Linked DNA regions of Macaca fascicularis. The protein of the gene in region 2 purifies or fractionates together with the protein of the main gene of each other region. This does not show direct contact. Links are inferred from orthologs where the notes say so. Each region holds a gene or a part of one and is shown on either strand. Other genes may lie near its edges. The genes, in order: CUL4B and DCAF6.

Evidence for each region.
Region 1: the proteins of DCAF6 (region 2) and CUL4B purify together in Homo sapiens (affinity purification with mass spectrometry; 6 studies listed by BioGRID and IntAct, with this or other methods). This does not show direct contact. The link is inferred for Macaca fascicularis from reciprocal best matches to the Homo sapiens genes DCAF6 and CUL4B.

What each region holds. Positions count from the first base shown.
Region 1 is NC_088395.1:126,807,278-126,811,088, forward strand, and holds part of CUL4B (cullin-4B), read right to left. Parts: coding exon 3,712-3,811; intron 1,819-3,711; coding exon 1,646-1,818; intron 1-1,645.
Region 2 is NC_088375.1:25,600,697-25,605,002, reverse strand, and holds the start of DCAF6 (DDB1- and CUL4-associated factor 6), read right to left. Parts: upstream 2,816-4,306; 5' UTR 2,588-2,815; coding exon 2,491-2,587; intron 1-2,490. Other genes in the region: MPC2 (mitochondrial pyruvate carrier 2), read left to right, coding at 3,661-3,769. UniProt on the Homo sapiens protein: Ligand-dependent coactivator of nuclear receptors. Enhance transcriptional activity of the nuclear receptors NR3C1 and AR. May function as a substrate receptor for CUL4-DDB1 E3 ubiquitin-protein ligase complex.

The DNA.
Region 1 (3,811 bases), on a different chromosome or scaffold from region 2:
TACAATCCTTCAAGACTTATAGACATGTAGGTATTTAGGAGGCGGTTTACCAATCTTGATGCTAAAGCAAAAATGTTCATCTTTCGTAACTAAACCAAAAAAAGTCTGGGCTTTTTGCAGCAGTTTCTTCCTGGTACAGCATAAACATTTTAAAAGTAAGGACATGGTAATCCTTTAAGAAAATATCCTTTGATGTGTATGTGAAAATGACAGGAACTTGTTTGAAGATACTGGTTGCTGTCCTACATTAAAACTTTTCTCCGCTGAGCGCAGTGGCTCACACATGTAATCCCAGCACTTTGGGAGGCCGACGTGGGTGGATCGTGAGGTCAGCAGTTCGAGACTAGCCTGGCCAATCTGGTGAAAACTCATCTTTACTTAAAATACAAAAATTAGCTGGGCGTGGTGGTGCACGCCTGTAGTCCCAGCTACTCAGGAGGCTGAGGCAGGAAAACCACTTGAACCCAGAAGGCAGAGGTTGCAGTGAGTCAAGATCGCGCCACTGACTCCAGCCTGGGTGACAGAGTGAGACTCCACATCAAAAAAAAAAAAAAAAAATTTTTTTTTTCAAATATTGCATTAAACCTTATTGGAACTGAAACCATCAGTTTCAGGATGCTGCAGTTGGAAGTCTCTTACAAATTCAAATGGCAAAAACAAACAAAATATTCACCTTCACTGTTTTTGTTTTTTTCTTTTTTTTAGACAGAGTCTCACTCTGTCACCCAGGCTGCAGTGCAGTGGCGCAATCTCAGCTCACTGCAACCTCCACATCCTGGGTTCAGGTGATTCTCATGCCTCAGTCTCCCAAGTAGCTGGGACTACAAGCACGCACTACCACGCCCAGCTAATTTTTATATTTTTAGTAGAGACAGGGTTTCACCACGTCGGCCAAGCTGGTCTTGAACTCCTGACCTCAGGTGATCCACCCGCCTCGGCCTCCCAAGGTGCTGGCATTACAGGCGTGAACCACCGTGCCTGGCCCACCTTCACTGTTAATCAAACAAATAGTGAATAAATCATTCAGATTTTTCACCAAGCAAGTTGGAAAAAGAAAATATAATCTTTAGTGCTGGTGGACATAGTAAGACAGGCTCTCATATGCTGCTGGACAGAGTATAAACTGGTTCAGTCTTTCTGGAACACAATATGACATTATGTACTAAGACTCCTAAAATGTTCATACCCTTTAACCCAAAAAAATCTACTTCCACACATTTATCATATATCAAAGAGATTAAAATTTAGGTTCAAAGAGGTTTCTTGCAATTTTATTTATAATACTAAAAAGTCATGAATTTAATTGCCCCAAAATGAACAGTGGTTGAATAAACTGTAAGAGCCATGTAAAAATATTACACTGCCATTTGCCATTTTTTGAAGCTATTTAATGGCATGGAAAAATTCTAAAGATTGAATATTAAATAAACAAAGTAGGATATAAAACCATGTTGAGTATCAACCCAATCCTGTACAAGCACTCTCCCAAAAACCCAAAATCAAATACGGAAATATATTTAGCTGGACATAGCAGAGAAAATGTTAATGGTATTGGCAGTATTACAGGTATAAAATCTTTATATATTTTAATTATTAACATGTATAATTCCAGTGTGTTAGGACTAGGAGAAAGTGAAAGAAATACCGTTTCTTTCATCTGGATTTGATTGATCTTTATCCTGAAAAGTTTGTGTTTGAAATCATCATTACAAATGAACTTGTCACCATCTTCAATATCTTTGCCCTTTGGATTTTTTGCCAGAACTCTAGCTTTGCCACAGGCTAATGACTGCAGTGTTCTCCTTAACTCTCCATCCTCTGAAGAAGAAAGAGAGGTTTAGTTATTTGTTACCAGCATGAACAACTACCACATTCTACCTCAATCTAGTTTCCACTCCATCCCCCTAGTAAAACTGTTTCATTTTTTCCCAAAGGTCACCAACAACTCTTCTTTGTCCTAGCCAATGGCTTTTTTCCTAGTTCTCTTCTTTTTTTAAAAAAAAATAGAGACGGGGTTTCACCATGTTGCCCAGGCTGGTCTCAAACTCCTGAGCTCAAGTGATCCACCCGCCTTGGCCTCCCAAAGTGCTGGGATTACAGGTGTGAGCCACCACGCCCGGCCCCTAGTCATCTTTTAAAGGTGTCAATTATCGTATGATGTGCGCAACTACCAAATCTTCCAAAATGACATTTCACTTCTCTCCAGTTGCACGTTTAAATGGCAATTCCGCCTGGCTGTTTTACTATCAACTGTAGTCACGTCCAAAATTTGATTCATCATCTCTATATAACTGTGTCCTCTTTCCAACTGTCAGTGGTGATACTACTAACCTTCGCAATTGGGAAACCCTGAAATCATCTTTTAACTTTTCCTTCTCCCTCATCCTCAACATAATAGCTAGCTGTTGCTTCTGCAGAGATGAATTTTCTCCATTTTCGTGGCCTCATTCTAGTCTAAGGCCCTTCCACTTTATGCCCGAATCATCCCAACAGCATCTAAACTGGAATCCCTTGATCCTTCCAGTTGCCCTGTACATTGATTTCAGTAAGTGGTCCAAATAATTACTTCCACCACGCCACATAGTTGAGACACTACAATGTAGGTTTGCATTTGCTAGATTTATCAGGTTCTCCACAATCAGGCACTACTCATCCTACCTAATTTTTTAACTCACTATTCTGTTACAATTAAGCTCTTCATGATTCTTCATGATTCCGTGCTACAATTAAGCTCTTCATGGGCCTATACTGTGCCCATTCCTACCTCCAATCTCATCTCAAAATATTTCCCCTTGCTGTATATGCCTTCTCCCTGACCAAAACTTGAAGGCCTAGCTCAAATGCCACTTGCTTCATGACAGCTTTCCCAATTGTGCTAGTCCACAGTGATCCCTTGCTTTGTTGAACTCCTACCACACTTAGTCAGTACCACAAGCCAGTACTTATTGGTTCTGACATTATTTCAAGTGTCATTTCCCCCTTTCCCTATGGTTATATTAAGAGTTTTGGCCAGGTGCAGTGGCTCACACCTGTAATCCCAGCACTTTGGTAGGCCGAGGCAGGCGGATCACGAGGTCAGGAGTTCGAGACCAGCCTGGCCAACATGGTAAAACCCTGTCTCTACTAAAAATACAAACATTAGCCAGGTGTGGTGGCGGGCACCTGTAATCCCAGCTACTCAGGAGGCTGAGGCAGGAGAATCACTTGAACACAGGAGGTAGTGGTTGCAGTGAGCTGAGATCACGCCGCTGCACTCCAGCCTAGGTGACACAGCGAGATTCCATCTTGACAGGGGGAAAAAAAAAGAGTTCTGGCTGGGTGCAGGGGCTCATGCACGTAATCGCAGTACTTAGGGAGGCTGAGGCAGGAAGATCCCTTGAGCTCAGGAGTTTGAGACCAGGCTAAGCAACATAGTGAGACCCTGTCTCTGCAAAAAAAATTTTAAAAATTAGCCAGGCATGGTGGCATGCACTTGTAGTCCCATCTGCTTGGGAGACTGAGGCAGGGGAATCACTTGATCCTGAGCCATGATTGTACCACTGGACCCCAGCCTGGGTGACAGACTGAGACCCTCGTTAAAGAAAAAAAAAAACCCTCAAAAGAGTTCTGAGGCAAGGGATTATTCCTATAAATGTCCCTCAGACCTCTTAACACAGTGGTATGCACATAGTGAACACTTAATGTTTGCTAATCAACCAATTCAACACAAACCTATTCCGGTTGCCTGCTTGATCTCTTCTAAACTGAACTCCTCTCCCTCATTAAACATTAGCAGCACCAGTGTTTGAAAAAGAGAGACCTGGAGTTCTTT
Region 2 (4,306 bases):
AGTGTAGAAGAGTTGAATAACAGCGCAAAGGTCTACTAAGGGTAAAGGCCAGTCAGTTAGTTCTTTGAAAACATTTTCAAGTCTCGATACTTTCAAAAAGTATTTTCAAGTACTTAGAAAACCACTTTAAAGGAAGTCATTCCAAAAATGTCCTATTTTAAGAGTATATATCCGGCCGGGCGCGGTGGCTCACGCCTGTAATCCCTGCACTTTGGGAGGCCGAGGCGGGCGGATCACGAGGTCAGGAGATCGAGACCATCCTGGCTAACACGGTGAAACGCCGTCTCTACTAAAATACAAAAAATTAGCCGGGCGCGGTGGCGGGCGCCTGTAGTCCCAGCTACTCGGGAGGCTGAGGCAGGAGAATGGCGCGAACCCGGGAGGCGGAGCTTGCAGTGAGCTGAGATGGTGCCACTGCACTCCAGCCTGGGCGACAGAGTGAAGACTCCGCCTCAAAAAAAAAAAAAAAAGAGTATATATCATATCTAAAATACTATTTAAGATAAAGAACTCCCTGTATGTACGTGTGTGTATATATATATACACATTTGAAAAACTATAATTCAGGATTTCTACTATAGTCAGTGAACCCTTCAATTCCCCTAGACCCAATATACAAATTCCATTTCCATTAGGGAGTCGGAGTAGGAGAGGAAAAAGAAAGTATATGGTTTTGTTATATTTTAATTAACTCATTTGTAGATATAGCTAAAGTAACTGAACCAAAGGAAAACACTAAAATATAGAACTGTATACAAGTACTTAAACTGTCCAACTGACATAAAGGACCAAATTATCAATGTATTCATGCAAAACAACGTTAACATTTGTTTTATTAAGCTAAAATTAAGTTCTCTCTCCACAAATAAATTCTAAAAGAAATATTGCACACTTTTTTTGGCAAATAGTTTAAAAAAGCAGACTCTAGCTATGTTCAATTTTAAAATGATTAATCACCACTCTAGGTACTTATCCTACAACAAATGCACAAAAGCTTGTACAATGATGTTCATTACAATGCTGTAAGGGCGAACGTCCACTTGAAGAATGGTTGAGTACACTACGGTACTTCATAATGTTACATACTATGTAATAATTTAAAAGACATAATCTATTTTTACTGCCATGGAAAGATCTCCAAAACGTGGAGAAGTTAAAACAATGTTTACGATATGACCATGTATTCAGGTGTCTCTCTCTCACACACACACATATACACACACACCACACACACACCCTAGCATTTGTACATATACATACGTACTTGTAAGAATGCAAACAAAAAGGTCTGGAAGAATATTCAGAAAACAGAAAATATTATTTCTAAGGGTGGCGAAGTGAAATTGAATGGGAGGAATCAAAGGGATTTTTGCTTCATTTTTATTGAGCTTCTACAAACAAAATGTATTCGTATTTTACTTGAGACACTAAAAAGCAAGAATTAAATTGCATGCTAACTTTTCTTAAATAATTTACAAACCAGAACTGTTGGCTGTAATGAGATTTCATTTTCTTCTCTTTACTTGAAATCAAAAACAAATGACAGCAACAAACACTTTTTACCTAGCAAATGGCAAAACTGTAAAGAAAAATTTTGTTTGATGTTGTTTGCCATATCTCCAAATAGAAAGAGTAATGAAGAGTATACAGGGAGAAACAAAAAAGACCTTTACTAAGTACGTCCATTTTTACGAAACCAAACTTTTTAGTTGACTCGGGCGTGACCCAGAATCCTCAAAAAAAAAAAAAAAATGTTATGCAAAACGAAAAAAGTGGAATACTGTTCCCTCAAGTATTGAAGGTTGTTTTTAGAAAGCTTAACTAAGAAACTGTAAATGCCAAGTGTGTTTTCCAGGGGTGGGAAAAGGAACGTGAAACCCTACACCACCTTTAAGCGGTCAAAACGAACTGAAGAACAGAGTGGAACTGGGAGAGCGCGCGGGGGTGGGGAGAGCTCAGCTATCACTTTTAGGTTTTGGCTCAGCGCCGCAAGAACAGTTTACACGGATTCTGTCTGGAGCGTGAAGTCCCTGAGGGTGGTCAACGCGTCGCAGCCGACACCTAAACCCTCTTGAGATCGAAGACGAGGGTGGGCAACAACTTAGGTTCTCCGGCTCAGCGGGGAGAGCGCGCTGGAAAAGAGCAAAAGAGCTAACTTTTGCTCTAAACGCGGCAGCTCCTGGAGGTTCCGCAAGTCCCCCGAGTCCCAACCTATTAGCGACCCCAACACCTTTACAAGCCAGTACCTTCTGCCCTCGGCCCGGCCCTCCGAGGAAAACCCAGCAAGGGCGGCGGCTGGCAGCAAGCATAGGGGGCTTGACTGGGGGAGGCACCGGCACGGGATTCGGCGACCGAGGCCCCACCCAACACCCCAGAGTCTCGGGGCACCCTCGCCGAGACGCTGTCCCACCTCCAACAGCCCCGGCAGTGCGCCCCCTCCCCCACTCTGGGCGGCGACCTCAGCGCCTCCGCCCCGGGGCCCCCGCTCACCCAGGTAGCGGCTCCGCAGCCGGGACGGGTCCTCCAGCCCGAGGGACCTTTTCCTCACGTCCCACAACAGGTGTGGGCAGGAGCCACCCCGAGACATGGCTCTGCCTGAGCCGGGTGGGAGGGGAGACCACCGCGTGGGGGAGGGGAAGAGGGGGAGGGGACACCGGATCAACACCCGAGCCGCACCGGCACCATCCGCGCGCCGGGCCTCCAGGGCGCAGCGTTAGATGGCGGTGGCAGCAGCGGCGCCTGGGCCCCCGAAGCCCGGCCGCACCCGGGCCGGAGCTCGCCTCATACTCTCCTTCTTAGACTAACCAGAACATCCAAAGATCAGCAACAGTCTCCTCCCTCGGCCCCCCTCCAACAGGAGGAGGCGGAGGCGGAGGCGATGGCGACTCCTCCCTCTCCTCGTCCTGGATACCCTCCCCGCCAACCCTTTCTCGCGAGATGACGACCACCTCGGGGACTGAGGCTGGTGTGTGCCGCGGCTGCCCTCACCGTGGAAAAATGCATTCGGGCCACTCTAACCAGATTCTTAAGTCGCTAGGGATAAAAGAGGAGTAGAGAGAGAAGCGACTCAATTCTGTAGTCTCTCGCTCACGAGTCTCCAGTCAAAAGAAGCAAAAGAATAGTGCAGCATCATCTTTAGGCACTGAAGGCCCGAAAAGCCCATTTTAACTACGGGCCTGCTTAGTCAAAGTTAAGGGGCAGTAGAGCCGGCGCAGCTTCACTTTCCCTTCTCCAACATGGCCTCGAGGGCAGCGGGGAGAAAGAGGAGGTTCCGCTGCACCCTGCCCGCGCCTCGGGGCGGGCCAATCATGGCGGGCAGCTCAGTCTGCGCAAGCGCGCTGCCAGGAGGGCGCTGGGCGGACTCGGTGAGGTGATTATTTTGGCACCTGTTGCCGAGGCTCCTCCTCCCTCTCTCCTGCCGGGGCGGAGGCGGACCAGGGGCGGGCCGTTGGCAGCCTCCGCCCCCTCAACCTTCGCGGGGTGCGGGCGGCAGCTTTTTGGTTCACAGCCGGGCAGCGAGAACCGCGGGAAGGGCTCTCCAGGCGAGAGACGGACGCCAGGCGTCGTGGCAAGGAAGAGTGACTAGCTCCCCTTCGTTGTCAGCCAGGGACGAGAACAGAGCCACGCTCCCACCCGGCTGCTCACGATCCCTCGGCGGCGATGTCGGCCGCCGGTGCCCGAGGCCTGCGGGCCAGCTACCACCGGCTCCTCGATAAAGTGGAGCTGATGCTGCCCGAGAAATTGAGGCCGTTGTACAACCATCCAGCAGGTAATGGACCCTGAATGGCTCGTTATCTAGACCTTCCTTCCCCCTTCCTCTAAAATGGACCTTTTAGAGGCCCTCTGACAACTGCCACTAGAGGCATCCCACAGCCCCAACTCCTTCCTTCCCCTCAGGTGAAGCCGTTTACTCTCCTAGCCTCTGCATTTCACCCTCTCTCCTGCAACATCTCTTCCTAAGCCAACGTATCTCAAGTCAGCGCCCTTCCCCACCTATGTGACATCCGCTCCCTTACGCACGACTCCAACCCAAACCTGACCTCCAAATTTGAGCCTTCTCAGCTTCTGCGGCCACGAAAGTGTCTGCAGCCACCATGAAACACTCATTCTCTTTCTCTTTTCGAATTGTGGCATATTAACCCACGCTAGGCAGAGCTGGGTGGGTGGCTTGTCGCACTGTAGGGTTTGGAGTAAAGGTCACACTTTCTTCAGCTACTGCTGGCAGAGGCCTGCAGACTGAGCCCTCCCCCAAACTGCATGCTTTACTTCATCCAGGGTTGAGTCAGTGTCATTTCTCATCCCATAG